4 linked regions of the Anolis sagrei genome follow. The main gene of each other region encodes a partner of the protein of the gene in region 3 in a complex. Links are inferred from orthologs where the notes say so. Each region holds a gene or a part of one and is shown on either strand. Other genes may lie near its edges. The genes, in order: FGFR4, FGFR3, FGF23 and FGFR1.

What was found.
Region 1: the proteins of FGF23 (region 3) and FGFR4 are in contact, whole or in part, in a cryo-EM structure (PDB 7YSW), measured with the Homo sapiens proteins. The link is inferred for Anolis sagrei from reciprocal best matches to the Homo sapiens genes FGF23 and FGFR4. Residues at the interface, in NP_065689.1 of Homo sapiens: Leu32, Gly33, Ser35, Trp36, Gly37, Tyr43, Ala45, Thr46, Ala47, Arg48, Asn49, Ser50, Ile75, Arg76, Ser77, Glu78, Asp79, Ala80, Gly81, Val83, Val84, Tyr93, His117, Gln118, Thr119, Asn122, Gly123, Tyr124, Asp125, Leu158; in NP_001341913.1 of Homo sapiens: Glu156, Lys157, Lys158, Leu159, His160, Ala161, Val162, Pro163, Asn166, Asp240, Leu242, Glu243, Arg244, Ser245, Pro246, Lys272, Val273, Tyr274, Ser275, Asp276, Ala277, Gln278, Pro279, His280, Ala308, Asp309, Ile310, Ser312, Gly336, Asn337.
Region 2: the proteins of FGF23 (region 3) and FGFR3 are in contact, whole or in part, in a cryo-EM structure (PDB 7YSU), measured with the Homo sapiens proteins. The link is inferred for Anolis sagrei from reciprocal best matches to the Homo sapiens genes FGF23 and FGFR3. Residues at the interface, in NP_065689.1 of Homo sapiens: Ser29, Leu32, Gly33, Ser34, Trp36, Tyr43, Ala45, Ala47, Arg48, Asn49, Ser50, His52, Ile75, Arg76, Ser77, Glu78, Asp79, Ala80, Gly81, Val83, Val84, His117, Gln118, Thr119, Asn122, Gly123, Tyr124, Asp125, Leu158, Ser159; in NP_000133.1 of Homo sapiens: Glu157, Arg158, Asp160, Lys161, Leu163, Leu164, Ala165, Val166, Pro167, Arg223, Asp244, Leu246, Glu247, Arg248, Ser249, Pro250, Val277, Tyr278, Ser279, Asp280, Ala281, Gln282, Pro283, His284, Ala312, Gly313, Ala314, Thr316, Thr317, Asp318.
Region 4: the proteins of FGF23 (region 3) and FGFR1 are in contact, whole or in part, in a cryo-EM structure (PDB 7YSH), measured with the Homo sapiens proteins. The link is inferred for Anolis sagrei from reciprocal best matches to the Homo sapiens genes FGF23 and FGFR1. Residues at the interface, in NP_065689.1 of Homo sapiens: Leu31, Leu32, Gly33, Ser34, Trp36, Gly37, Tyr43, Ala45, Thr46, Ala47, Arg48, Asn49, Ser50, His52, His66, Ile75, Arg76, Ser77, Glu78, Asp79, Ala80, Gly81, Val83, Val84, Tyr93, Phe108, His117, Gln118, Thr119, Asn122; in NP_075598.2 of Homo sapiens: Glu159, Lys160, Glu162, Lys163, Lys164, Leu165, His166, Ala167, Val168, Pro169, Lys172, Gln244, Asp246, Val248, Glu249, Arg250, Ser251, Pro252, Val279, Tyr280, Ser281, Asp282, Pro283, Gln284, Pro285, His286, Ile287, Ala314, Gly315, Val316.

What each region holds. Positions count from the first base shown.
Region 1 is NC_090022.1:77,267,197-77,274,904, forward strand, and holds the start of FGFR4 (fibroblast growth factor receptor 4), read right to left. Parts: upstream 3,102-7,708; 5' UTR 2,717-3,101; intron 237-2,716; 5' UTR 198-236; coding exon 98-197; intron 1-97. UniProt on the Homo sapiens protein: Tyrosine-protein kinase that acts as a cell-surface receptor for fibroblast growth factors and plays a role in the regulation of cell proliferation, differentiation and migration, and in regulation of lipid metabolism, bile acid biosynthesis, glucose uptake, vitamin D metabolism and phosphate homeostasis.
Region 2 is NC_090023.1:142,751,690-142,758,753, reverse strand, and holds the start of FGFR3 (fibroblast growth factor receptor 3), read left to right. Parts: upstream 1-4,026; 5' UTR 4,027-4,098; intron 4,099-6,531; 5' UTR 6,532-6,604; coding exon 6,605-6,788; intron 6,789-7,064.
Region 3 is NC_090025.1:104,196,542-104,204,493, forward strand, and holds the start of FGF23 (fibroblast growth factor 23), read right to left. Parts: upstream 3,011-7,952; 5' UTR 2,851-3,010; coding exon 2,634-2,850; intron 913-2,633; coding exon 809-912; intron 1-808. UniProt on the Homo sapiens protein: Regulator of phosphate homeostasis. Inhibits renal tubular phosphate transport by reducing SLC34A1 levels. Up-regulates EGR1 expression in the presence of KL. Acts directly on the parathyroid to decrease PTH secretion. Regulator of vitamin-D metabolism.
Region 4 is NC_090027.1:2,236,448-2,243,814, reverse strand, and holds the start of FGFR1 (fibroblast growth factor receptor 1), read left to right. Parts: upstream 1-4,365; 5' UTR 4,366-4,461; coding exon 4,462-4,552; intron 4,553-7,367. UniProt on the Homo sapiens protein: Tyrosine-protein kinase that acts as a cell-surface receptor for fibroblast growth factors and plays an essential role in the regulation of embryonic development, cell proliferation, differentiation and migration.

The sequences.
Region 1 (7,708 bases), on a different chromosome or scaffold from region 3:
CGGTCCGTATTGTAATCCAACCATCTGGTGGACACCAGGCTATGGAAAACTGGTCATCTTCTTTCTCCCAACAACAGAGACATCCCCACACTCTCACCCGGTTCTGTGGTTCCTCCCATGGGAGCAGCTGCTGGCCAAGCACATGTGGTTGCCACCACTGCCAGAAACTTCAGAAGGCCACACAGTATGGTTCTCATCCTGTCGTTTCTTCTTGACTCCAGTAGAAATGTAAAGCCCTGGATCAAAGAGAGGAGAAAGTCATACTCAGCCCTCTGGATTTTTTCCACTCAACACACAATGAACCACATATCCTAAGTTCATACCCATCTAGAACTGCCAATAATAATGGCTTGCATGGATGCAGGAATAGCAAAGGAGAAACATGTTTATATAGACATTGACTCCTGTAGCCAGCCATGATTGGCTGCTAGACATTCTCTTTGGAAGGAAAGGGCCGCCAGCAGGGATTTCAAATAAGGGACCGATTTGCTAACCATTCCCACAAGAAAATAAGTTCAAAGAAATGCTAATTTATTTCTTGGGGAGCACATGGTTTGCCATCCTTGCAATTTTACCACTCTTCCTTTGAGAACTGGCTACACTTCATTCAAAGTTCTAGACCAATAGTTCTCAAACTATGGTCCTCCAGATGTTTGGAAAGAACTGCCTGCATTGGCCTCACCAACTAGGACTTTCAGGAGTTCAACTTCAAAACATGCAGAGCAGCACTGCTTCTTAAACTGTGGGTTCCAGCCACAAATGGGGTTCCCTTAGCTCAGTTGGCAACAGAAAAGGTTTCAGACATTTACATGAATCTGTTAGCAACCATGAGCAGCGTTTACAGTGGGCTCTGCAGAAAATGCTTCAGCTGTACTTCATAAAAAGGAAAACCAGCCTGTTTAGCAAGTCTTGCCAATACTGATGTGTTGTCAGGAAATGTTTGATTTTTACATCTATTTTTTACACATATATACTTGGGGTTATGTAAAGGATCTAGACAAGGCATGGACAAACTTTGGCCCTCCAGGTGTTTTGGACTTCAACGCCCACAATTCCTGGCCTCAGGCTCTTTCCTTTTTCCCCTCAGCTGCATAAGCAGCTGATGGGGAAAGGAAGGGGCCTGAGGCCAGGAACTGTGTGAGATGAAATCCAAAACACCCGCTTAAATGGCTGAGGGGGAAAAGGAAGAGGCCTGAGGCCAGGAATTGTGGGAGTTGAAGTCCAAAACATCTGCTTAAGTAGCAGAAGGAGGAAAGGAAGGGGTCTAAGGCCAGTGATTGTGGGAGGTCCAAACACCCGCTTAAGCGGCTGAGAGGGAAAAGGAAGGAGCCTGATGCCAGGAATTGTGAGAGTTAAGTCCAAAACACCCGGAGGGCCGAAGTTTGCCAATACCTGATCTAGAGGACTACATTTTGAGGACCAAATGTAAGTGGTGCTCTCTGGACTAGGACCAATTCCCGGGGCATGAGCTGTCAGTTCCTGGCAAATGACCAGGAAACAAAGGAACAATGCCAGCCAATGGCCCCTATTATGGTGATGGGTCCCTGGTCCAATGGAGGGAAGTAATAGCTCGGTCCCCTGTATCAAATAGACTGAGAAGTGCAGCTGGACCAGGGGGCCCTTCGCAATGGGCATCAGGATGTTGGTCCCTGCCTCTCTGCTTCCCAAGAGGGCAGGAAGATTCTGCCACCTTTTCCCCTTTCTGCCCAAATCTCAGAGGGACATCTTTGGTTGTGAGCCTGGGTGGCTGCTCCAGGGCAGCACAAGACAAACAACAAGAGGGGAGAGCCTGGGGAACCTTAGGACCGGTAAACGAGGAGGGAAAACGGGAGGAAGACGGTGGCTTCATGGGAAGATGCTGCGAGCAGGGCAGTCCCTTCAAGGCGGCGCACCGGGGAGAGTCAGGACGAGGAGCTCTCCCATCACAGGGATCATCCTCCCTGGGATCCGGGTCACCTTCCCGGGAGGATTCGGATTTTTTTTCCGTGTCAGGAGCGACTTGAGAAACTGCAAGTCGCTTCTGGTGTGAGAGAATTGTCCGTCTGCAAGGACGTTGCCCAGGGGAAGCCAGGATGTGTTGATGTTTCCCCATCCTTGTGGGAGGCATCTCTCATGTCCCACTACGGGGTGCTGGAGCTGACAGAGGAAGCTCACCCGCGCTCTCCCCGGATTCGAACTTCCGACCTGTCGGTCTTCAGTCCTGCCGGCAGAAGGGTTTAACCCACTGCACCACCGGGGGCTCCTTTCGGATGCCGCTTGGAAGGAAACGGGGGAAAGTCTTGCGCCTGGAGCGAGGCGCGCGTTTCAAGGGCGAAACGAAGTAAGTTCCCAGCCAGGCGGAGCGGAGGAGATGCGAGAGAGTGAGTGAGAGGACCAGGGGAAGGAAGAAAGAGCTCCCCGGTCTCCCAGGTGGTTTAATCTTTAATCCCGCGATCTCAAAGGGGGCGGGGGGGGGGAGCAAAAGACCTCTGGTAACAGATTGACAGACCTTCCCGGTCAAAGTCCGCCCAGGGAAGAGGGCTCTCGGCCCCGCCACGCCCCGGGGAGCCTCCTGGGTCGCCAAAGGTACTCTCCATCCACACCGCCCGAGAAGGCAGTCCCAAACTATAAGCCAAGGGACGAGGCAACCCGAGTGAGTCCAAGGGCCACCAAGCTTTAACCGCCCGCCCCCCTCCCCTCCGCTGCACCAAACCCGGCCCGAAGGCGCCCTCCTCACCTCCTCCTCCGCCTTCGGCTGCTGCTGGTGCTGCGGCTTCGGGGTCCCGCTAACTCCTGGAAGCTGGGGCTGCGGAGAGGCGCTCCATCCTCAGCTGGCCGGCCAAGGGAGCGAGGCGCCTCCCGCGCGGAAAGGGAGATCGATCCGGAGGAAGAGGAGGAGAGGTTTTTTCCCCCACCTCTTTCTTTCCCTGCCCTGGGAGGCGGAGAGAGCCCCGAACGCGCGCCCCGAGGGTCCCGGCTCCCTTCCCTTGCGCCCTTCTGCCGAAGTCGGCAAAGGCGTGGGGACTTTGTAGCCCCAGGGCTCGGGTGACACCCCCCTCCCTCTCTCTCTCCCTCTCTCGCCTTCCTGCCTTCCCCTTCCCCGCGCGCGGACCCCAGCCAACAATGGGCCGCCAAAAGAGCCAGCGAGGGAGGGGGCGGGGCCCGAGGGACTCCCCTCCCCGCCCCGCCCCCAGGGCCCCTCCCTCCCTCCTTCCCTCCCTGCGCGGCAGCCCCTCCCCTCCTCCACCCCCCCCCCCCCTCCAGCGCCTTTTCACACTCACATTAGCTAAATTCTCTCCCCCAAAGCTCCGGCAAAAGGGATTAGGCCGAGTTCATTCCCTGCTGCCCTCGCTGGGCTTCCTCTCCCGCTCGCCCTGGAAACCGGAGAGACCAAACCAGGAGCTCTTCCTGGGGAAAGGCCACAGGGTTTCTCAACCTTCCCAATGCCGCGACCCCTTAATACATACAGTTCTTCATATTGTGCTGACCCACAGCCATAACATTGTTTTTGTTGCTGTAATTTTGCTACTGTTATGAATCGTAATACTAATACCCGATATGGAGGATGTGTTTTAATTCACTGGGCGAAATTTGGCACAAATACCCAATAAACCCAAATTTGAATACTGGTGGGGTTGGGGGAGTTGATTTTGTCATTTGGGAGTTGTTGTTGCTGGGATTTATAGTTCACCCAAAATCAAAGAGCATTCTGAACTCCACCAGTGAAAGAATTGGGCCAAACTTCCCACACAGAACCCCCATAAACAACAGAAAATACTGGAAGGGTTTGGTGGACATTGACCTTGAGTTTTGGAGTTGTAGTTCACCTACATCCAGACAGCACTGTGGATTCAAATAATGATGGACCTGGACCAAACTTGGCACGAATACTCAATATGCCCAAATGTGAACACTGGTTGAGTTTGGGGGAAACAGACCTTGACATTTGGGAGTTGTAGTTGCTGGAATTTATAGTTCACCTACAGTCAAAAAGAATTCTAAACACCACCAACAAAAGAACTGGGCCATACTTCCCACACAGATACTGTGTTTTCTGATGGTCTTTGGTGACCCCTCTGACACCCCCCTTGCAACCCCCGCAGGGGTCCCAACCCCCAGGTTGAGAAATGCTATTTTAAAGAAATGAGATCATTTATTGTTTTATTTCATTTAATACCCCGCCTTTCTTCCCTTCAGGGAATTCAAGGTGGTTTACAACTGCGGTACCATTCAATAACGGTAAAATCTAACAGTAAAAACAATAACACACCCCCGCCATTAAAACACTTAATAATTAGTTAATAAACACATTCAAACATATAAAGTGCCTAGTTCCAGTCATCCAAAATCCTTGTTCATAGTCCATATTCAAACCGTGTCAAAGCCCATAGTCATTTATATGTGCAAAGCCATGTCTTTAACTTTTTTCTAAAAACTAGAAGGGATGAGGCCTGCCTGATGTCACTGGGGAGGGAGTTCCACCACTGAGAAGGCTCTGTCATCCCCACCAATCACACCTGTGAAGAGGGTGGGACCAAGAGCAGAGCCTCCCCAGCCAATCTTAAAGTTCTAGTAGCCTCATACAAGGAGACATTTAGACAGGTAAATTGGACCAGAACCATTTAGGGCTTTATAGGCCAAGACCAGCACTTTAAATTGAGCTCAGTAGCGAATCGGCAGCCAGTGGAGCTGATTAAACAGGACAGTAGTATGCCCCCTGTATGCCGCTCTGGTTAGAAATCTGGCTGCCACCCATTGGACTAATTGAAGCTTTCGGGCCTTCTTCAAAGGCAACCCCACGTAGAACGTGTTGCAGTAGTCTATGCTAAGTGAAAGGATAGGCAAAAGAAAGTGGAAAGAGTGTGGGGTAGAGAGGGTGATTTGTTGCAAAGGGCCTTTTTTGCCTGAAGATGAAAAGGCAGATTGTGCCCCCTTGGAACTCCCTGCTGTGTATGTTCAGATGACTGGTTCCCAACCTTTTTTAATTATTATCAGGTACCACTTGACCAGGGACCACTTTAACCAGGGACCACTCAAACATTAGTACCAAAAGGGTTACAAATCAGTTTTTGGTCAATTTTAAATTTGGTTTACTTATTTGGGGTGCTGATTCAGAAAATTGCATTGGATAGGCCACATCAGCTCTAGTTTCTGATGCAGAACATAGGCCATCCATTAATCGCCATTTGTTCGCCCACAGAAAACCATATTTAATAAGCCTCATCACTATAAGAGCATTTCATGAGACCAGCCACTCTCGTTGCAACGGGGTAGTAATGGTGAGGACCATATTTTAGTTCTCCCGGACCACTGGTGGTCCACAAACCACAGGTTGGGAACCACTGGTTTAGATAAACTTCATTTGGGCTACTATGTGCCTTGAAGTGGTACATCTACTGCAGAATTAATGCAGGCAGACATCGCTGTCACAAAGGACTACCACCCAGGCCCGTAGCCAGGATTTCAATTGGGGGGGGGGCTGAGTTTGTTTCGGGGGGGGGGCTGTGTCTGAGTGAAAGAGGGTCTACCCTAGCAAACCTTTTGTATCGTTACCCCAATACCCCCATGCATATGGGATATATTGAGCATGGTGATCAGATCATGATATGAATAAACATAACAGTTTAAATATTGCACCAGTAAGGCCTTTTTGCGAACCACCATGAGAATTTCGGGGGGGGGGGGGTTGGGGTTGAAGCCCCTCAAGCCCCCCCCCCCCCCCCCCCCCGCTACATGCCTGCTACCACCCCACTCGCCTCATAGGAAATCTACAAAACAGGAGCTTTTTTGTTGAATTCCACGGCCAGAGAAGCAGATGGTGAAAACAGAAGAACAGCATCGTAACTATCAGTGTTCAGGATGACTTCAACATGCCAGTCCCCTTGAAAGCAATTTTCTAATCTGGATTTCAGAACATCATCCCAGCTGTGAGATAGATGTAAGGCATGGATATGTGTCACATGCATTTACACACACATTCCCTCCACTGGGAAATTGGGAAACCAATATGCCTTTGAACATTGCATTCAGCGGAGCCCAGATAACTGCCTTACTTAGCTTAATGAGAAGACTTGTCACAGATGACTTGTCTCAAATGTATGCCAAAAATCATTATGGGAACGTGAAGTTAGAAGCAGCTGCAGGAGTTGGGAGGCAAATAGTTAATCTGTATTCTGACAGCTGCAGATGGACACAGCTAACTGATTCTTTCTGCAAGACCCTCTGTAAACCCAGCTAGAAATTTCAGGCTGCACAAAATTATGGTTGGGATGTTATGATGGTGGGGGAGAAGTACCCAGATGTTGGTTTCATGCAAAGAACAGAGCTTTAAAAATAATGTTTGGGAACAGGAAAAATAGTGTTTCAGAGCATGTACAGAATGCTTCTTAATTACTCCCAGCCATCATAATGATATACCGGCTTTCCCACAACCTGTCACTTTCCAGAGGTGCTTATGAAGTAGATCCACTGGAGATGATAGCAGACAAATCTAATACATTTGTCTGAGGACATGGGTTTGCCAGATTGCAGAAAGGCTGATAGGCACAACTGAGGGTCCATTTACACCAGTGGTTCCCAACCTTATTTTTTGACCAGGGGCCACTCTCCAACATTAGTACCAAAAGGGTTATGAATCAGTTTTTGGTCAACTTTAGATTTGGTTTGATTATCTGGGGTGCTGATTTAGAAAACTGTATTGGATAGACCACATCAGCTCTAATTTCTGATACAGAACAAATGCCATCCAGTAGTCTCCATCTGTTTGCCCACAGAAAACAATATTTGATAATCTGAATCAGCACCACAAATAACCCCAGGAACAGGCCTAAAAACAAAGACATCAGGGCATCCCCTCTTCCAGACACCACATGGAATGGCTCGGCTCAGGGGAAGGAAGGAAGGAAGGAAGGAGGAGGAGAAGCAGAAGTCAGGAGGCTTGTTGTTGCTTTCATGGGTAGTCAGCCTCTCCCCTCCCGATACAGCCGTGTAGTAACAGTGAGTTCCATGGACCACTGATCTACACTGTAGAATTAACATTGTTTTTCTTTACTTTAATTGCTGTAGCTCAATGCTATGGAATCTTGGGATTTGTAATTTGGTCAGGCATCGGCAACTTTTGAGAAAGAAGGCCCTTGTAAAACCTCTATTCCCATAGCACTGAGCCTTGGCAAATAAAGTGGTGTCAAACAGCATTAATTCTACAGCATAGATGCAGCCTCTGGCTGACTATTAGAAGAGAAGGTGTGGTTTTCAGGTTGCATTGACCTCTGTCCCCCTTTCTTAAACTAGTGTTAGGAAATGACCCTCCAATCTGCAGCTCCATGCATAGCAAAGAAAGACCTGCCTGCTTTTCTGCCCTTCACAAATCCATACAGCAGTCAACCAATGTCTCTATTTCAAGAGTCTTTAATTTTAAAATGTAGTCCAGCTCCCCCAATCTGGAAGACACCAGTATGGGGGAGCCTATTTTAAGACAGTCACAAGCATCTTTGTTGTTTTTGCTGCCACAAATTAACACAAGCCATCCCTCTCCGGAAACACTTTGTGTCCTCAAGTTCTACGAAAAGGAAAACGGCCCAGCCCCAGCGTAATAAAAACAGGGAGTTCAAATGCCTTTCGGGGGGGGGGGGGGGAGTGTGAAGATGGCAACCTCTCCACCTCCTTTTGAAAAAGGCGAAGAGGCCTTCCCCGAGGCTCAGTCACACAGGGAAGCATTTGGAGGAGCCAA
Region 2 (7,064 bases), on a different chromosome or scaffold from region 3:
GCAGTATATGGCAATGCAGTTGGGGCCTCGGTTAATGTAAATAATCAAAGCCTAGCCATCTTTGAAATGCCACATGTAGACAGCTAGGTATAGATTTGGAACTTCAGCAATGCAACGACTTAAACTTGGATGCAAAGGATGGGAGCCAGCCTTCTTGAAAGCAGAGCTAAGATTGCACACCTCAGCTCAGGGACAGGGTCCTCCTCCAGGTTAGGCCCAGAACACAAGAAGTCTCCAGGTGTGAACCCCAGAAGGTCCTATGCAGCCAGAAACATGGAATCTTCAGAGTTAAAAGAGACCACAAAGCAATCCTGAAAAATGACCTGTCAATCTCCATTTAAAGACTTCCAAAGATGGAGAATCCACCACTTTCAGGAGCATCATTCAGTCATTCTGCCTTCTTGTTCTCCTCCATAAGTGATTTTTCTGCCTTGATAGCCTTCTTAAGTAGCATAGCAAAGTAATTTGTTATTTTCTAAATGAGCTTCCATCCGTTCAGATGACAGCTGAGCTACTATTCATGCTTAACCAGGCATGTCAACAAGTAGCTCGTAATACCTGCATGTCAGTATCCACCAAACTTAATTTATTCAATAATGAACAACCAACTTGATGTAATATCTTGTTTAACCCAGAGGGGAGAATTATGCAGCCCTCCAGATGGTGCTGAATTGGGAATTCCAGAAGTCTTTTATCAGCAGAGGCAGCAGGATGAGGAATGACGGGGAAACTACACGTTTCACACCCTTTTTTGAACCATTAGTAACAGGAACCTCATTTGGTGATTAGGAAGCAGTAATCAGTCTTTCTGACTAAAGTTACGAGTATAGTCATTTGAGAAAAGAAGAAACGAGACATGCTTCTTATCTGCACTTCTGATTACTGCAAAAACATGGAATGAGAAGACTATGCTGGGAAAATATGTAATTGATCAGTTCAACTCGCAACAAGTTAATCACCATTGTTTCAATTCACAACTCTCTATATATAAAAGTTAAAGCATGTTCGCATGACTCTTTGAACCAGAAAAGGTGATTGCTAGGTGAAGTGGCCCTCTGTGATGTCACGGGGTGACAAGGGGATGGGAGGGAGGAAGGAAAGAAAAAAGCCACAAAGAGAGCCTGCCCACCCTTGCTAGAGTGTTGGTAAGCCTTCTCAGAGCTGGAGAAGGGGGAAAGTCAGTGGGCAGACAAGTATACTCAGCTAAAGAATGGAAAATGGAATGTCATAGAATCATAGAGTTGGAAGAGACCACATGGGTCACCTAGTCCAACCCCCTGCTATGCAGGAAAAGCATAATCAAAGTATCCCTGACAGATGACCATTCAGCTTCTGTTTAAAAGCTTCCACTGCACTTTGAGTCAGAGAATTCCACTGCTGAACAGCCTGTACAGTCAGAAAGTTCTTCCTAATGTTCAGGTGGAATCTCCTCTCCTGTATTTGAACCCATTGCTCCGAGTCCTAGTTTCAAGGGCAGCAGAAGACAAGTCTGCTCCCTCTTCCTTATGACACCATTTCACATATTTATATGTAGTGGACAGCAAGAGATTTAAATCAAACCTTTAAAAATGTGGAATAAATATTGTAACTGGAGGTCAGCTGCTACCAACAATGCTGTGGATTTTGAGGTATGAATGGAGGGTGAAAGGGAGAAAGTGTCAAGAGGAAAGCGCCTCAAGCTAACCCTTGTCAGGACCGCCTTCCATCTGGAAATCTATGTCCTCATTGCGAAAGACTATATGGATCCACAATAGATCTCTACAGTCACATATGGACCCAGGGCCAAGACAATCACAGGCCCCTTCCACACAGCTGTATAAAATCCACATTGAACTAGATTATATGGCAGCGTGGACTCAGACAATCCAGTTCAAAGCAGATATTGTGGATTTTAGAAAGAGCTAAAAACTTGGTCCTTTCTGTAGGCCTTTGATAATGTTTTCAACAAGATGATATGGTTTTTATATATGTTTTATATTGTTATGTTGATTGTTTTTAATCGCACTTTTATGAATGCATGCCATTGAATCGTGCCAATCTGTAACCTGCCTTGAGTCGCCATATGCTTGAGAAACGTGGGCTATAAATGTCGTAAATAAATAATAAAGAAATCTTTAAGATAGCAGCCAGACAACTATCTTTAGCCAGGGAAGGCTAGATTGACTGTATGGATTTTTAATTAACAACTATTGCCATATTTTATCGATTCTATTGCTCTTGTTAATTTTATATGTCTGCTTTTAAATGTGTTTTGGTTTTAATGTTGATATATTGCATTTTATATGTTGTATGGGAGATGGTGGTAGGCTATAATAAAATATTATTAGTATTATTACTATTATTATCTGCCTTGATATTCAGGGTTATATGGCTGTGTGGAAGGGCCCATACTTGGCCTCAAGTTATTGCCTATGATGATGACATATGTTAGTAGTTCATATAAAACTTGGTATGGTATCAACATCCCCTTTCAATATGTGCAGTGTGACTACGGAATGGCCTTGGACTCTGACTCTAGATGACGTGATTCATTGAAATGGATTTTATTTTATTTTTTATTTTAAACCATGTTTGTAGTTGGATACTAGCCATCCCCTGCCACACGTTGCTGTGGCCCAGTCTGTGTATATATATGTGCGTGTATATATATGTGTGTGTGTATGTGTGTTTGTGTATATATGTGGTTTTGAGCATGCGTTTTAATGTTTTTTGTTTTGTTTTGGGGCTTTTTAAGTCTCTTTCGCTGTGTTTTTCAGTGTTTTTATGAGTGATGGTCACTCATTGGCCTAATAGGTATATTGTGTCCAAATTTGGTTTCAATTCATCCAGTGGTTTTTGAACCACTGTTAATCCCACAAAAAACTGTTAATCCCGCAAAAAACATTACATTTTTATTTATATAGATTGTATGTTGTGAGCCACCTTAAGTCCCCCTCAAGGTAGAAAGGTGAGATATAAATAAGGTAAATAAAAAAGGAGTTCCTGGTGGCACAGTGGGTTAAACCGCTGAGCTGCTGAACTTACTAGCCTTAATGTTGCAGGTTCGAATCTGGGGAGTGAGCTCCTGCTGTTAGGCCCAGCTTCTGCCAACCTAGAAGTTTGAAAACATGCAAATGTGAATAGATCAATAGGTACCGCTCCGGTGGGAAGGTATGGGCACTCCATTCAGTCATGCTGACCACATGACCTTAGAGGAGTCTACGGACAATGCCAGCTCTTCGGCTTAGAAATGGAGATGAGCAGCAACCCTCAGAGTTGGGCACCACTGGACTTTATGTCAAGGGAAAACCTTTACTACCTTTAACTAAGTCAGGGGTCCTCAAACTTTTTAAACAGAGGGCCAGGTCACAGTGCCTCAAACGGTTGGAGGGCAGGATTATAATTTTTTAAAAAACATGAATGAATTCCTATGCACACTGCACATATTATTTGTAGTGCAAAAACACTTAAAAACAATACAATAATTAAAATGAAGAACAATTTTAACAAACATAAACTTATTAGTATTTCAATGGGAAGTGTGGGCCTGCTTTTGCCTGATGAGATAGGATTGTTGTTGTTGTTGTGTGCTTTCAAGTCGTTTCGGACTTACGTTGCCCCCGAGTGTGGGCCTGGTAAATGACCTTGGAGGGCTGTATCTGGCCCCCGGGCCTTAGTTTGAGGAACCTTGAACTAAGTAAATAAATAAATATATACATACATTTCAGTCAATGGAAGTCTCAAGTGACTGCTCTTCCTGGGACACAGCAGAGTCCAGTCCGTCCTGCAGCTGTGGGGCTATGAAGAGGAATGCTTACCTGGAACAGAGTCATTGCTCTTACCTGGAGAACATATCGACATTCCCTGCACCGGCTCCTGGTGCGCATTCCCAGGTAGTCTCCCCGGGGAAGGGAGAGGGGTGAGCGCGCGCTGTGCCCCTGCCTCGCGCGCGGGAGGGAAGGAGGGAAAGGCGACTCCCCATTGGCTGCGGGGAGTCCTCGGCTCCGCCCCTTTCCTCCGCGCGAGGCGGTCCGCGCAGGGCTGGGCGCAGAAGGGCTCCAGCTGCGGTGGCAGAAGGCAGCAGCCTCGCTCTCGCGCCCGCTCTCTCCCTCTCCCCAGGTAGGCACCGCGGGATGGACGGGGGAATTCAGGCAGACTGGGAGGGGTAAAAAGGCGGGGGAAACAACTCACCTGAATGTTCTCTGACGAGGAGCCCTCAGAGTCCTTCCTCTGACAAGTCTCCTCAACCTCCTGGCGCTCGCGGACGGTGTCCCACCCGTGTTGAGGGGGGACCTGGTGCCTTAAGGCTGGGTAGGCGTGGGTTTCAATTGACACTCGTTCGTTTTGCAGGCGGACAGCTTGGCGTCCCTCTCGACCGCTTTTTCTGACTCAGCGCCTCCGCTCTTTGCGGCTTCGCTGGGGCTGAATCCACACGGCTTGCAGATTCCAGGGCCGTGTGGATCCAGTTCAGTCTGCATTCTGAAACAGCGTTATAGAGCTATGCGGATCCAACCTGAGGCCCCCTCTACACTGCCATCTGATTATTATTATTATTATTATTATTATTATATTTGAGTTGTTGTGAGTTTACCAGGCTGTCTGGCCATGTCCCAGAAGCATTCTCTCCTGATGTTTCGCCTACATCTATGGCAGGCATCCCTAGAGGTTGTGAGTTGTGAGTTTTCCAGACTGTATGGCTATGTTCCAGAAGCATTCTCTCCTGACATTTCTCCTGCATCTATGGCAGGCATCTTCAGAGGTTGTAAGTTGTTGTGAATCTTCCAGACTGTCTGGCCATGTTCCAGAAGCATTCTCTCCTGACAATTCGCCTGCATCTATGGCAGGCATCTTCAGAGGTTGTGAGTTTTCCAGACTGTATGGCTATGTTCCAGAAGCATTCTCTCCTGACATTTCTCCTGCATCTATGGCAGGCAACCCCAGCGGTTGTGAGTTGTTGTGAGTTTTCCAGACTGTGTGGCTATGTTCTGGAAGCATTCTCTCCTGACATTTCGCCTGCATCTATGGCAGGCATCCTCAGAGGTTGTGAGTTGTTGTGAGTTTTCCAGACTGTATGGCTATGTTCCGGAAGCATTCTCTCCTGACATTTCGCCTGCATCTATGGCAGGCATCTTCAGAGGTTGTAAGTTGTTGTGAGTTTTCCAGATTGTCTGGCCATGTTCCAGAAGCATTCTCTCCTGATGTTTCGCCTACATCTATGGCAGGCATCCCCAGAGGTTGTGAGTTGTGAGTTTTCCAGACTCTATGGCTATGTTCCAGAAGCATTCTCCCTGACATTTTGCCTGCAACTATGGCAGGCATCCCCAGAGGTTGGCAGGCATCCCCACAGGCCTTGGCCATTGTAAGCCGCATCGAGTCCTTCTGGAGATTTTGCAGGGTATAAATAAAGTTAATAATAATAATAATAATTGTGAGTTGTGAGTTTTCCAGATTATATGGCTATGGTCTGGAAGCATTCTCCCCTGACATTTAGCCTGCATCTAAGGCAAGGCATCCCTAGAAGTTGTGAGATCTCACAACCTCTGAGAATGTTTGCCCTAGATGCAGGCAAAACATCAGGAGAGAATGCTTCTGGAACATGGCCATACAGCCTGGAAAACTCACAACAACCCAGTGATTCTGACCATGAAAGCCTTTGAAATATATTATTATATTTATTTATTTATACCCTGCTTTATCTCCCCAAAGGGGATTCAAAGCGGCTTGACATGAAAAGCATTGGCATAAAAATGTATACAATCCAGATTATCTGATTTGAACTGGATTGTATGGCGGTGTCAACCCGGGGGTGAATGTAAATAAAAGAGAGGGAATGTATAGTACATGTCTATATAACTGTATTTTTTTCTCAAATAAAAGTTTATTAATAAAATAAAATAAGTAATCCAGTTCAGAACAGATAATCTGGATTTCATAAGGCAGTATAGGGATACCTGGCCCATCGCTGGAGGTCAAAGTAAGAGTCAATCCCATAGAAGAAATGTCAGAAACTGCATAGTTTTCACATGTGGCAATGAGAGCGGAGAATGTCCCCTTCAAACATCCCTCATCTTAAACCTTATCAAGGGGAGACCTGTGGCACGTGGAAGCTTCCAGACCTTAGGTTAAAAACCAAAACTACTTAGTGTATTGCGTTGTCGAAGGCTTTCATGGCAGGAATCACTGGGTTGCTGTGAGTTTTTCAGGCTGTGTAGCCGTGTTTCAGACCGCTTCTGGAACATGGCCATATAGCCTGGAAAACTCACAGCAACCCAGTTAATGTGTTGTCGAAACTTTCACAGCTGGAATCACTGGGGTGTTGTGTGGTTTCCGGGCTGTCCGGCCGTATTCTAACAGCATTTTCTCCTGGTGTTTCGCCTGCATCTGTGGCTGGCATCTTCAGCGGGTCTGAAGTGGAGTATATATACCTGTGGAATGTCCAGCGCAGGAGAAGAAAACCATTCTCTGTTAACCAATGTCAAGGGTGCAGTTAGCAAGCTTGATTTGCAACCGACTGGAAGCACTCAGATGTCTGCCTGTTGTGTCTTCTTGCAGGGTGTAGCCAGACCTTGTGGGGCCCAAAAGGAGGCCCTCCAATCCAGCCGAAGGGGCAGCATGCATCTGGAGGATGGCTGAGGCTGGCCACCACAGCAGCACCACAATCACTGCCCAGGGTGGCTCCTCTGGGCAAGGAATGCCTGCAGTGTGGGGAGCACTGCTTTGCTTTTTCCTGGTGGCAACCGTCAGCAGCCTCCCCTCAGCCCGACCATCCGCTTCGGACCCTGAAAACAGGTTTACCAGAGAGCCATCAGGTAAGAAAGTTTGTGGAACAGAAGAGCTATTTCCACCCTCCGCTATGAGCCATGTGCTGTTTCTTGCTGGGATCTCTAGCTATCCTTTTACCTTCCTGTCCCTTTGCCATCAACAGCCCTTGCATTCAGTCTGTCAAATGTACTGTGTTACAGACAAGGTAGCACGAAGGAACTGCTCCTGTTTGGCTGGCTAGTCTAGTAGTTATCTGCTCCTCCTGAGCATGCCCCAGTTTCAAGTTGGGAGAAACATAGATTACTTTTGCAACTGATGGAATC
Region 3 (7,952 bases):
ATTGTGCTCTCGAACTTTGAATGACACTGACATGGTATTTTTCTAAGGGATGTCTCATGTTTTATCATCAATAACTATCCCTAGATATTTTACCTGGAGCTATCTAACTTAGGATAATTTAGATCATTAGGATGGAGGAAGGATCTGTCAAAAGACCTAACATTTTTTGAAAGAGGGGTGTCAATTGGACATCTACTCAAACAATGAAGGTTTACCAACAGGTTTAAGCATTTGAATGTGGTCTTGGTCATTTTCTCTATGTTCTTATGTATATTTTAGTTGCTCAGCATTTCCCTCCATTTTCTCTGCTAGCAATGCTGATGGTGATGAACATGCAGAAAGAGGTAGGGGACATCCAACATTAATTTTATTTGTCTCAGAAGAAGAGGAGGTGTTTTAATAAAGAAGTGAAAGAGACAACCGCTTCTTGGGAAGCACAACAGAGTTATTTACTCCAAGCTTCTGGTGCAAGCCCTGTTGTATGATGTAATTTTGCTAAATAATTTTATATGTGGAGCCCCCGGTGGCACAGTGGGTTAAAGCCCTGTTCCAGCAGGACTGAAGATCAACAGGTCGCAGGTTCGAATCCGGGGAGAGGCGGATGAGCTCCCTCTATCAGCTCCAGCTCTTCATGCGGGGACATGAGAGAAGCCTCCCACAAGAATGATAAAACATTAAATCATCCGGGCGTCCCCTGGGCAACGTCCTTGCAGATGGCCAATTCTCTCACACCAGAAGCAACTTGCAGTTTCTCAGGTCGCTCCTGACACGACAATATATATATATATATATGTATAAGCAGACTTACCGATCCAAAGATGTTCCCATTCATATCCATACAAAGGAAACGTCCACTTTTCACACCATTTATTATAACATAACCAGCAACTTCGGATTTGATCATCAAGGCACCTGAAAATTAAGTTACTGAATATTAGAAAATTATTTTAATAACTTCAGTTGCAGATGGTGGCGGTTGACTGGCCAGAACCAACCACAAAATATGTTTGTTTCCCTGGCAGTCCTATCAGATTTCAATCATGTTACAAAATAATGACTGTCTGCAATAATAAAAAAGTTGTTTCAAATTATAACAAATAGGTCTGTAAGATAGGAATCCTCTGTCTAAAGACCTCCAGATAATTATTCATATTATTTTTATTATTAACTTTTTAAATACCCCATCTTTCTCCCTGTGGGGACTCAAGGTGTTTAACAATCCCACACTTTACTCATTGTATAAAAATTCCAATACAAAAGTTAAAAAACAATTAAATAGTACAGTGTAGATTAAGATAAAAACAGATTGAAATATAATAAATACATTTAAAATTGTCTTTGAAACTCAGAGAAGAGTCTACAGTGCTCATGACAGTATATTCCACTCTTGCCAATAAAATTTCTTCCTAACATTTAATCACGATTTTTTTCTTTTTGTAATTTTGTAATTTTAGTGTACTGGTTTATAACAGTAAATTAAAATTACCCTCACGGTTTTCTGAAGTCTCCAAAAATTAAATTGTGTGTCTTAATCATGATATTGCTCCACATTGTTAATGATAGGTATCACAGGTGCTTTGTTCTACCCAACTGCTAACTCTCTGTTTCTTACTTTGACTCACTTTCCACAAAATATGCTTCTCTCCCTATGTGTGCTTTCTCTATTCTCTAGTAATTACCTTCCCAAAAGGAACATCTACTCCTGCCCTCTTCTGCCAGGCAGGAATGCAAGCTACAGCGCCATCACCTCTCCATTTTCTCTTCTCCAAGCTACATGTATCTAACTTCCCATGTTGTCCCTTAATCCAGAAAGCACTGTGGACTCAAACAACATGGATCTGAACTAAACTTGGCATGAATACTCAATATGCCCAAATGAAGTTTGGGGAAATAGACCGTGTCAAACTGCAAGAAAGGAGATTCCATCTGAACATGAGGAAGAACTTCCTGACTGTGAGAGCTGTTCAGCAGCGGAACTCTCTGCCCCGGAGTGTGATAGAAGCTCCTTCTTTGGAAGCTTTTAAACAGAGGCTGGATGGCCATCTGTCGGGCGTGCTTTGAATGCAATTTTCCTGCTTCTTGGCAGGGGGCTGGACTGGATGACCCATGAGATCTCTTCCTAAGTCCAATCCCCAACAGTGCAGGATCTCTAGTTAGAGCATCCCCAGCAGGTAACTGTCCAACTTTGTTTTGAACGTGTCCAGAGAACACTTTGTGCAGTTGATCCCATTGCTAACCTCTATGATTCTATGATTCTATTTGGAGTTGTAGTTGCTGGGATTTATAGTTCACCTACAATCAAAGAGCATTCTGAACCCCACCAACAAGAGAATTGTGCCAAACTTCCCACACAGAAGCCTCATGACCAACAGAAAATACCGTGCTTTCTGATTATATTTGGTGACACCCACCCTCTGACACCCACTCACGACCCCTCCAGGGGTCCCGACCCCCAGGTTGTGAAACACCGATTTAGTGCTAAGTGAGAGATTCAATATAGTTTTTATACCTTTACTATGAGGAATATAGTAAACTTAAGTTTAGGATACAATTTCTAGAATCCCCCAGCCACCATATCCAGCATTTCTGGTTCTTCTTCACATTATTTCTCAGACTACTTCTATGGTACTTACTGTAAATGGTTTGATACGGACTTCCATCCACGTAGCCATTGGAGTGGATTTGCAGGTGGAAGCTATTTCTTGCTGTGGAGGTGTACAAGTGCAGCAGGCTGTCTGAATTTCCCCAGTTGCGGCTGAGCAAAGGCGATGCATTGGGGAAAGCAGCAATTGCTTTCCAGCTACATGTTGCAAACAGCATATATTTGAGGAAGCTGCACAGAGTAGCCATGGTATTCCTCTCTGACCTGCAACTTGATCCTTTTCCCTGTCCACAGCCACCCACCTTCTGCCTTCCTTTCTGCTGGAGTGTGATGCCTCAGACAGGGTCCCAACAGCCTTGCAACAGTTTTATAGTTGTTGAGCGGCTTGTGGGGGTGAGGCTCTTTCTGGGCAACATGTTGGGAGTGTCCTTAGACCTCAACAACTCAGGAAAAAGGGGAAAAAACATCTGCACATGGGTTTCTCAGAGAGGTTTCTGTGGTTTCCAAAGTAAACTTTTGGGCACTAATGACATGTTGAAATGTTATCTGAAAAAAACCTCTGACATCAGAATGCTTCCCACTGTCTGGATTAGGACCAACCCATTCATTTGTGATGCAATGGCATCTCCATTCTCCCCCTTTCTCTACAGCTGTTTCTGTATACCTGGGTTGTTAAACGTAAGGTCCGAGTATCCGGTGAGGCAATGTTGACTCTGGGATGGCACTAAGGCACACGTCCTACACAAATGATCAAGGCAAAGCTAGGAAGCAAAAAAAGTACAATCCCCATATCCACAGGGAATATGTTTCCTGACTTCACAGAGATACAAGAAACCACATACACAAGTAAACCCTGTTAATTCAATGGGATGAACAGTGGAGAGACCAGGAAGAAGGGGTATACAAGAGGCCTTTAGCAGTGAAGACGTGAAGCCATGGATAAGTGAAACTGCATGTATTTGTTCCGTGGATATGGGGGTTCTTTATTCTTAAAGGAACTTGACTTTTAAAAACTCGGCTACTACAATGCTACAATGCTGTCGCTTGATGCTCAGGTGTCGGAAGTGGCTGGGAGGGCCTTTGCACAACTCAAACTTGTGTGCCAGCTGCAACCATGCCTTGTGAAGTCTGACTTGGCCAGGGTGGTCCACGCCTTGGTTACATCCAGATTGGACTATTGAAATGCGCTCTACTTGGGGCTACCCTTGAAGACGGCCCGGAAGTTTCAACTGTTACAACGGGCAGCAGCCAGGCTCCTAACTGGAGCAAACTATAGGGAGCATACAATGCCCCTATTAAAACAGCTTCATTGGCTGCCTATAAGTTGCCGAGACAAATTCAAGGTGCAGGTCATGACCTATAAAGCTCTAAACGGTTCGGGCCCCGCCTATCTCCGCAATCTCATCTCCTTCTATGAACCAGCACGAACTCTAAGATCTTCCAGGGAGGCCCTCCTTTTGCTCCCACCACTGTCACAGGTAAGGTTGGTGGGGACGAGCGAGAGGACCTTCTCATTGGTGGCCCCCCGCCTCTGAAACACCCTCCCCAGGGAAATTAGACAGGCTACATCCCTCCCCTCCTTTCATAAGAGCTTGAAGACCTGGTGGTTTCAACAAACCTTTGAGAATGACTAGTTCTAGCTCAACCATAGACATTGTTGAATATGGCCTTATTATTCCTACCAATTACCCAGGCCACTTACTCTAATAGGTCCCAGAAATGAATTGGCCATATACCCTACTATAGCACTGCACTTAATTCCCGGGCCCTCTAGAATTTTTGAGCTTGCACTAATCTCGGCCCGGTCTTTTAAATTGTCTTGAACTGGCAGGATTACTTTTAATATATGTGTGTTGTGGCAAAAAAAATATATGCTTATATTGTTTTGTTAATCTTATGGTTATGTTGTTTACTTTATATGTTTTGATGATTTTACTTGGAAACCGCTCTTAGTCCCCCCGGGGAGATAGAGCGGTATATAAATAAAGTTTTTTAATTTTATTATTGTTACATAGAACACTGGGCTCTTTCCCCCATATCTCTTAGATTAAAACTGTGGTTGTTTACATGCCATTACAATTGGAAGAGACCCCCAAGAGTAATGAATTCCAAACCCCTTCTACCATACAGAAATACACAATCCAGTCCTCCTGAGAGATGGCCATCTAGCCTCTGTTTTAAACCTCCTGAGAAGGAGACCCCAGCATACTCCAAGGCAGGAACATATTCCACTGTCAAAATGGTGCAAAGGCTAAATAGAAAGTTAAAAGTGTAATTGCAAATACTTAAGCTGTAGTTTGAACTGATAAACAGAATATCTTCTTGCTTGTTCTTCTGTTATAAAGACTTAGGAGTGCCCTTTTTAAATACATTAAGGGCTGGGCTGGCAAGAAGAGGAGGGGTGGCATGTCCTCTGCTGTCCCAGAGGATAAAGCCAGGTCTGATAATTTTAAGTTCCAAGAGAGTATGTTTCAATTGAATCTTAGAAGGAACTTCTTGGAGAGAGCAGGTTAGCAATGGGATCAACTGCACAAAGTGTTCTCTGGACACGTTCAAAACAAAGTTGGACAGCTACCTGCTGGGGATGCTCTAGCTAGAGATTCTGCACTGTTGTGGATTGGACTTAGGACTTCATCACATTGATGAGGTTCCCCGTGCTGATTCACCAACCTCCATGGCGAATTGGCTGGGCAGTGGGGCAATCCCGGCACCCTGCGCCTCACCCAACCATGAGTGACACTTCCCCTTCATACGTGAGGAAGCATCATCACATGGTTTGTCCCTGCAGTAGCTCCATTGTTCCAAATGAAACACAAGGAGGATCATGTGTTGAAGGTGCAATGTCCTACCATGTTGCTACCCCAGTTAAGCAACAGAGCCCTGGTGGAAGGGAGCTACATCATGTGATAGGTGGTGTGGGGCTCCATTGCTCAACTGAGGCAAAAGCGTCCTAGGATGCAAAAAAGATCTCGTGAGATCAGGTCCATAATGGCTGATGAAGCCCCTTCCAACTCAGTGACCTGTAATTTTATTATTCTAATAGTTAAATAAAACTTTACTAAATTGAAAGTATTAAATCAACAAGAACCACTTAAACTCAGAGACATTATTAGCAAAAAAAGAGGCTTGGCTAAGGGTTTCCAGAAATGTACTGGTGCTGATTCCAACAGAGCATGTGATAGCCGTACCTTGGAGGATCATGGCCCCTAGATCTTGAAGCAGCCCCCACAAGTGAGGATCTTTGGCGGTGGGCTCCCTACCTATCACTATCACTCAACACCAACCTTAAAAACTGTGGCATAGATACTGAGAACTGAGAAGCCGTGGCCTTTGAGCGCTCTAGCTGGAGGTCAGCTGTAACCAGCAGTGCTGTAGAATTTGAAGAAGCATGAATGGAGGGCAAGAGAAACATGCCAAGAGGAAGGCATATCAAGCCAACCCCGACCGGGACCGCCTTCCACTTGGAAACCAATGCCCTCACTGCAGGAGAACATGAGGGTCAAGAATAGGGCTCCACAGCCACCACCAAGATACATCATTTGGAGGATCATCATCCTCAGATTACGAGGGATCATCTAAGTAAGTACTAAGGGTAAAATATATAAATTTAAACAATAACACAAAAGTAATATTTATATTTACATATAAATCTCAAAGTATATTTTCTAAGCCACCCTCACTGGCCTCATTGCTTCATACAACCTCATCACACAGATGAACCCACATCCATCCATCTCCCATGCCATTTAGCCAGCCTCTGGGACAAAACGGCAGGGATGTGGGGCAGTGGCGACGGGGGAAGCGGCAACGAAGTGGTGCTGAAATGTGCTGGCTCCACTGGAGCCAGCATATCATAGGAGCTTTCCAATGTTAAGAGGAAAGCATCTTACGGCACTTCAACAGGAAGTCGAGGAACATCATGTGATGGCCAGTGTGCCTATCTGTTGCTGTACTGTCCCTTTAACATCCTGGAATGCTTAAAAAAGGTAAGTGTGATGTGCTCCATACTTACTCCCCATGACATTGCTAGCAAAAGGCAACTCATTAAAGGTTTTTAGACAAAAAAACATCATTTATTTATGTATTTATTTACGACATTTATATGTCGCCCTTCTCACCCCGAAGGGGACTCAGAGCGGCTTACAAGTAATATGTAAATACAATATATTATATTATTACCATAGCACAATATTAATATTATATATTACTATATTGTACTATAACACTATAGTGTAATATTATTAGTAATATTACATATAATATAAAATATATCATTATAATATCATATTTATTAGTAGTATTATACAGGGTTAGTCAAAATGAATAGGCCAATAAGAAAATTAATTGTAGCCGAATGTATGTTTACTGTAACCAAACCACAGCTACGTAGCGACAGATAAACTATCAAAGTTTTTTTTTAGCAACACACATGTACGTTAATGCCGCTAGGCGTCGCTAGGAGTCGCTGTTTTCAAAATGGCGGAATCAGGCAAAGAGAAGGTGCTGCATTCGATGCCATTACGTCGGATGTGCTGCAACGGATGTGGAATGAACTGGACTATCGCTTGGACGTCTGCCGTGTCACACGGGACGCCCATATCGAACATCTCTGAAGGTGAGACAAAACTTTGATAATTTATCTGTCGATACGTAGCTGTAGTTTGGTTACAATAAACATACATTCGTCTAAAATTAATTTTCTTATTGGCCTATTCATTTTGACTAACCCTGTATTGTATTACATTATGCAGCAGCCCAAGGCTTGCACTTTTCAACCAACTTGTCATCACTGGCAAGTCCGTAGTAAAATAAGGAAATGGCTTGTGCTGTGTACAGAAGAAGAGATACTGGAAGTTTTTTGAAAGATTCAGGTCTGATAGAGAAGGAAGGTGTGACTGAAACTCTGAAGTTCACTGGAAATTGAACAAGTAAACTGGACCTGAAATGAACTAGTGCTGCACCTACTGTTTAATGAGTGTAGTTTGATACCACTTTTAACTGCCATGGCTCAATGTAAGAGTTGTAGTTTGACAAGGTCTTTATTAGCCTTCTCTGTCAAAAGGTAGTGGTGCTTAATCAAACTACAAATCACCTTTAAAGGCAACATCCAGAGTCACAATTGGACAGTAAAACCTTTAAGTAAATTTACTTTAGCTTTGCAATATAAGCAAACACAGCTCAGCAAAGTTGGACAAGCAGCACTGACCTGACAAGGACTTTTGCAAGCTGCGGTAGAAGGTCAATCTGCGCTGTGTGCTGGACAGAAATTGAACCGGTATCATTGACAAAGAAAAATACTCCTGCTAATTTTCTGCCTATCATGTACTTGTTCAATCCTCTAACCGGGGAG
Region 4 (7,367 bases), on a different chromosome or scaffold from region 3:
ATTTGCGTGACAAAGAGTTGGATGTCCTGTGACAGCAACCACTGAGTTTCACAAACAAAAGGGTGACAGATTGATTCAGGACGATCGTCATATCACTCAGAGAGAAATTTCAAGCACAATCGGCATTTCACAAGAACGTGTGGGTCACATTATTGCTTTGCTTGGTATCGGAAGATCTGTGCATGATTGGTACCCAGGATGGGAGAACCGTGGGATGCTAGTTGTGGAAACAGCGTGTCGACTTCTTCTGTGACGGCTTCAGAAAACTTGTTCATCTTTGGCAGAAATGTATCCAATTGTCTGGAAATTATGTAGAAAACTGAATAGTGGTAGTTGAAGAGCACATTATAAGGATTCTTTCTGTGTTTCGTTTATTAAAATATTCCCATCCAAACCCAAGTAATGAAGGTTTTTTGTTCTGATTTGTGTGACAAACAAAGAGTTGGACGTCCCCTGACAGCAACCACCCAGTTTCACAAGCAAAAGGTTGACAGATTGATTCAGGATGATCGTTGTATCACTCAGAGAGAAATTTCAAGCATAATCAGCATTTCACAAGAACGTGTGGGTCACATTATTGCTTTGCTTGGCTATCGGAAGATCTATGCACGATGGGTACCCAGGATGAGAGAACTGTGAGATGCTGGTTGCAGAAACAAGAGTGTTGACTTCTTCCGTGACGGCTTCAGAAAACTTCTTCATTGTTGGCAGAACTGTATCCAATTGTCTGGTGATTATATGGGAAAGTGAATAGTGGTAGTTAAAGAGCACATTCTAAGGATTATTTCTGTGTTTCATTTATTAAAATATTCCCACCCAAACCCAAGTAATGGAGGTTTTTTGTTCTGACTTGCATGACAAACAAAAAGTTGGACGTACTGTGACAGCAACCACCAAGTTTCACAAGCAAAAGGTTGACAGATTGGTTCAGGACAATCATCGTATCACTCAGAGAGAAATTTCAAGCATAATCGGCATTTCACAAGAACGTGTGGGTCACATTATTGCTTTCCTTGGCTATCGGAAGATCTATGCACAATGGGTACCCAGGATGAGAGAACTGTGAGACGCTGGTTGCGGAAACAGAGTGTCGGCTTCTTCTGTGACGGCTTCAGAAAACTTGTTTATTGTTGGCAGAAATGTATCCAATTATCTGGTGATTGTGTAGAAAAGTGAAAACTGGTAGTTAAAAAGCATTATAAGGATTATTTCTGTGTTTCATTTATTAAAATATTCCCATCCAAACCCAAGTAATGAAGGTTTTTCGTTCTGACTTGCGTGACAAACAAAGAGTTGGACATCCTGTGACAGCAACCACCAAGTTTCACAAGCAAAAGGTTGACAGATTGATTCAGGACAATTGTCGTATCACTCGGAGAGAAATTTCAAGCACAATCGGCATTTCACAAGAACGTGTGGGCCACATTATTGCGGAAGATCTGTGCACGATGGATACCCAGGATGAAAGAACTGTGAGATGCTGGTTGCGGAAACAGAGTGTCGACTTCTTCCGTGACGGCTTCAGAAAACTTGTTCATCGTTGGCAGAAATGTATCCAATTGTCTTGTGATTATGTGGAAAAGTGAATAGTGGTAGTTAAAGAGCACATTCTAAGGATTATTTCTGCGTTTGATTTATTAAAATATTTCCATCCAAACCCAAGTAATGAAGGTGGAGGCATTACTTTTCAGTCAACCCTCATACCTTGACATTCTGTTACCACTAAGAAAAAAAAAGGCATAGCAATGAGCAATACAAACAACTGATTGCAACAGGTTAACATTTCTTAATCCAACAGCCTTAATTTCCAAACAGGTTTCGAGGTTCCTTGAAACACAAAAGAATCATAATACTGTATATTTGAATGTAACAAGAAGCATCCACATTGTCAAATTAGTGCAGTTTGACATTGCTTTAACTGTCATGGCTTAATGTTATGGCATTCTGGGAATTGTAGTTTGGTATAGCACCAGCTCCCTATGGCGGAGAAGGCTAAAGTTTGTAAAACTACAACTCCTGGGAATCCATAGCACTATTTATTTATTATTCGTGTCATCCGCAACCAGAACATTGTATTACATTTCTAACAGAACAAAACAAACAAACAGATAAAAAAACAACACAAAGTTTGCAAGCTTGGTAGCTGATTAAATGTCCTTTGAGCAATATCTGGCCCCTTGGAGTGCCTCTGGTGTTGCCGCAAGAAGGTCCTCCATTGTGCATGTGGCAGGGCTCAGGTTGCATTGCAGCAGGTGGTCTGTAGTTTGCTCCTCTCCACACTCGCATGTCGTGGACTCCACTTTGTGGCCCCATTTCTTGAGGTTGGCTCTGCATCTCGTGGTGTCAGAGCGCAGTCTGTTCAGCGCCTTCCAAGTCGCCCAGTCCTCTGTGGGCCCAGGGCGGAGTCTCTCATTTGGTATCAGCCATTGGTTGACGTGCTGGGTTTGAGCCTGCCACTTTTGGACTCTCACTTGCTGGGGTGTTCCAGCGAGTGTCTCTGTAGATCTAAGAAAACTATTTCTAGATTTAAGTCGTTGACGTGCTGGCTGATACCCAAACAGGGGGTGAGCTGGAGATGTCTCTGCCTTGGTCCTTTCACTATTGGCTGCTACTTCACGGAGGATGTCAGGTGGTGCCTGTGTCATTTCTCCAGTGGTGTAGGGCGCAGGCACTCCGTGATAATGCGGCATGTCTCATGAAGAGCCACATCCACTGTTTTAGCGTGGTGAGATGTGTTCCACACTAGACATGCATACTCAGCAGCAGAGTAGCCAAGCGCAAGGGCAGATGCCTTCACTGTGTCTGGTTGTGATCCCCAGGTTGTGCCAGTCAGCTTTCGTATGATATTGTTTCTAGCACCCACTTTTTGTTTGATGTTCAGGCAGTGCTTCTTGTAGGTCAGGGAACGGTCCATAGCACTGAGTCATGGCAGCTAAAGTGGTGTCAAACTGAATGAATTCCACGCTGCAGATGCCTCCCCTTTTTACCTCTGTATTGGAAAAAGAAGGGAAAGGGGGTTACCCAAACCTAAGAGTGACTGATCCTCGTGCCTGGATTGCTAAATTATGTTTTAATGTTGCATCTGTGATTCATACTGGATTGCTTCCACCTCCTGAAAAAAATGCACTTCCTGCCTCTGGAATTACATTTTCTGGGGGTGGAAAGCAAATTAGAATGAATTCCTTTCTCCTTTGTAGTATTTAAGACCGTGTTTCTTAACATGGGGGTTGGGACCCCTGAGGTGGGTCGTGAGGGGGTGTCAAAAACATCACCAAAGACCAGCAGAAAACACAGTATTTTCTGTTGATGATGAGGGTTCTGTGTCGGAAGTTTGGCTCAATTCTATCCTTGATGGAGTTCAGAAATCTCTTTGATTGTAGGTGAACTATAAATCCCAGGAATTATAACTCCCAAATGTCAAGTCTATTTTCCCCAAACTCCATCAGTGTCCACATTTGGGCATATTGAGTATTTGTGCCAAGTTTGGTCCAGATCCATCATTGGTTGAGTCCACAGTGCTCTCTGGATGTAGGCGAACTACAACTCCCAAAACTCAAGGTCAATGCCACCAAACCCTTCTAGTATTTTCTCTTGATCATGGGAGTTCTGTGTGCCAAATTTGATTCAATTCCATCATTGGTGGAGTTCAGAATGCTCTTTGATTGTAGGTGAACTATAAATCCCACAAACTACAACTCCCAAATGTCAAGGTCTATTTTTCCCAAACCCCACTGGTGTTTCCATTTGGGCATATTGAGAATTCATGCTAAGTTTGGTCCAGATTTATCATTGTTTGAGTCCACAGTGCTCTCTGGATGTAGGCGAACTACAACTCCAAAACTCAAGGTCAATGCTCACCAGTATTTTATGTTGCTTGTGGGAGTTCTGTGTGCCAAGTTGGGTTCAATTCCATCATTGGTGGAGTTCAGAATGCTCTTTGATTGTAGGTGAACTATAAATCCCAGCAACTACAACTCCCACAGGACAATATCAGTACCCTCCCCCAATCCCACCAGTATTCAGATTTGGGTGTATTGGGTCTTTGTGCCAAATTTGGTCCAGTGTATGAAAATACATCCTGCATATCAGAGGTTTACATTACTATTCATAACAGTGGCAAAATGGAACTAATGTTATGGTTGGTGGTCACCATTACACGAGGAAGCATATTGAGGAGTCGTGGCATTAGGAAGGTTGAGAACCACTGATATAGATGGTTGACAATGTAAACATATTGGGGAGAATGGAGCTTGGGAAGAATAAGAACTTTTGGCTTCCTGACCCTTCATTCTGCTTTTCTCTCTTTGTCCCCAGTGTTTGGATGCCTCTGCCCTGGAGAGCAAAGAGCTGAGCAGATCCAAGCGAGAAGAAGTCCATCTCCCGTTTGCCCATCGAGGCCCAAGGTCCAAGTCCTCATGGAGTCCGGGAGCAGCGTTTCCAACCTGTAGCCACAGATCTGGGATGTTGACGTGGAAGTGCCTCCTCCTTTGGGCTGTGCTGGTCACAGCCACACTGACCACTGCAAGGCCAGCGCAAACCCTGCCAGAGCAAGGTAGGAACAGAAGTATTGGGGTGCCGTTTGGTTTCCAAGCCGTTGATGAATTGGAGTGATTTCAGGCTGCGTGTACGGTCACAAGAACACATTTTTTGCAGCTCTCAAGGGATGCTCAAGTGCAAATATGGCTAGGTCTACATTGCCATATAATCCAGTTTCTGAATCTGTTTTGAACTGGAGATTCCACCTGAACATGAGGAAGAACTTCCTGACTGTGAGAGCTGTTCAGCAGTGGAACTCTCTGCCCCGGAGTGTGGTGGGGGCTCCTTCTTTGGAAGCTTTGAAACAGAGGCTGGATGGCCATCTGTCAGGGGTGATTTGAATGCAATATTCCTGCTTCTTGGCAGAATGGGGGTGGACTGGATGGCCCATGAGGTCTCTTCCAACTTTTGGATTCTATGTTCAGCAGTGGAACTCTCTGCCCCGGAGGGAGTGTGGTGGAGGCTCCTTCTTTGGAAGCTTTTAAACAGAGGCTGGATGGCCATCTGTCGGGTGATTTGAATGCAATATTCCTGCTTCTTGGCAGAATGGGGTTGGACTGGATGGCCCATGAGGTCTCTTCCAACTTTTGGATTCTATGTTCAGCAGTGGAACTCTCTGCCCCGGAGGGAGTGTGGTGGAGGCTCCTTCTTTGGAAGCTTTTAAACAGAGGCTGGATGGCCATCTGTCGGGTGATTTGAATGCAATATTCCTGCTTCTTGGCAGAATGGGGGTGGACTGGATGGCCCATGAGGTCTCTTCCAACTTTTGGATTCTATGTTCAGCAGTGGAACTCTCTGCCCCGGAGGGAGTGTGGTGGAGGCTCCTTCTTTGGAGGCTTTTAAGCAGAGGCTGGGTGGCCATCTGTCAGGGGTGGTTTGAATGCAATATTCCTGCTTCTTGGCAGAACGGGGGTGGACTGGATAATGGCCCAGGAAGTCTCTCCCAACCCCCAGGATTCTATATGAGTCTACATTGCAGTATAATCCAGGCCCCATCCACACATACAATCCAGTTTATCTAATTTGAACTGGATTATGTGACAGTGTAGACCAGGCATGGGCAAACTTGGGTCCTCCAGGTGTTTTGGACTTCAACTCCCACAATTCCTAACAGCCGCTATCTGCTTTGCACTGAATTATGTGGAGCTGGATCCACATTGCCATATAATCCAGATTATCAAAGCAGATAATGCACATTGCTTGGTTTGAGCTGAATTATATGGGGCTGGATCTACACTGCTGTATAATCCAGATTATCAAAGCAGATAATGCACATTATTTGGTTTGAACTGAATTATATGGGGCTGGATCTACAATGGCATATAATCCAGATTATCAAAGCAGATAATGCACATTATTTGGTTTGAACTGAATTATATGGGGCTGGATCTACACTGCCATATAATCCAGATTATCAAGTCAGATGATCCACATTATCTGCTTTGAACTGAATTATATGGGGCTGGATCTACACTGCCGTATAATCCAGATTATTCAAGCAGATAATCCACATTATCTGCTTTGAACTGAATTATATGGAGCTGGGTTTACACTGCCATATAATCCAGATTATCAAAGCAGATAATGCACATTATTTGGTTTGAACTGAATTATATGGGGCTGGATCTATACTGCCATATAATCCAGATTATCAAAGCAGATAATTCACATTATTTGGTTTGAACTGAATTATATGGGGCTGGATCTACACTGCCATATAATCCAGATTATTCAAGCAGATAATCCACATTATCTGCTTTGAACTGAATTATATGGAGCTGGGTTTACACTGCCATATAATCCAGATTATCAAAGCAGATAATGCACATTGCTTGGTTTGAACTGCATTATATGGGGCTGGATCTACACTGGCATATAATCCAGATTATCAAAGCAGATAATGCACATTATTTGGTTTGAACTGAATTATATGGGGATGGATCTACACTGTGATATAATCCAGTTCAAAGCAGACAGTCTACATTCTATATGGCAGTGTAGCTCCAGCCCCATAAAATCCACTTCTAAGTAGCTAATCCCAATTCAGGAACTGGATTATGTGGCCGTGCAGATTGGACCTGTGTCTCTTTGGTGCTCTGTTTATATACAACTGTTGGCCCTTTCTACACTGTCATATAAAACCCAGATTATCTTCTTGAACTGGATTATATGGCAGTGTAGACTAATATAATCCAGTTCAAAACAGATAATGTGGATGGTTTACTTTGGATTACACGGCAGCATAGAAGGGGCCTGTGATAGAGATAAATGCAGTCTTTGGAATGATAGATATCAGTTTAGAGGTTTTGTGATGAAAGGTGTTGCTTCTTACTGCCTGGGGACATCCTTTGTTGAGAGGTGATTAGCTGTCCCTGATTGTTTCTTGTCTGGAGCTCCCCTGTCTTTATTTACTGTTATAATTTTAGAGTTTTTTAATACTGGTAGCCAGATTGTGTTCATTTTCATGATTTCCTCCTTTCTATTGAAATTGTCCACCTGCTTCTTGTGGATTTCAATGGCTTCTCTGTGTCGTCTGACATGGTGGTTGTGAGAGTGGTCCAGCATTTCTGTGTTCTCCAATAATATGCTGTGTCCAGGCTGGTTCATCAGGTGCTCTGCTATGGCTGACTTCTCTGGTTGGAGTAGTCTGCAGTGCCTTTCGTGTTCCTGGATTCGTATTTGGACGCAGCTGCTGCGTTTGGGGGTCCCTATGTAGCCTTGTCCACAACTGCATGGGATACAATATTTTATTTATTTATTTATTTCGGGTATTTCTACCCCGCCCTTCTCAACCCCCGAAGGGGGACTCAGGGCGGCTTCCAACTGGCATA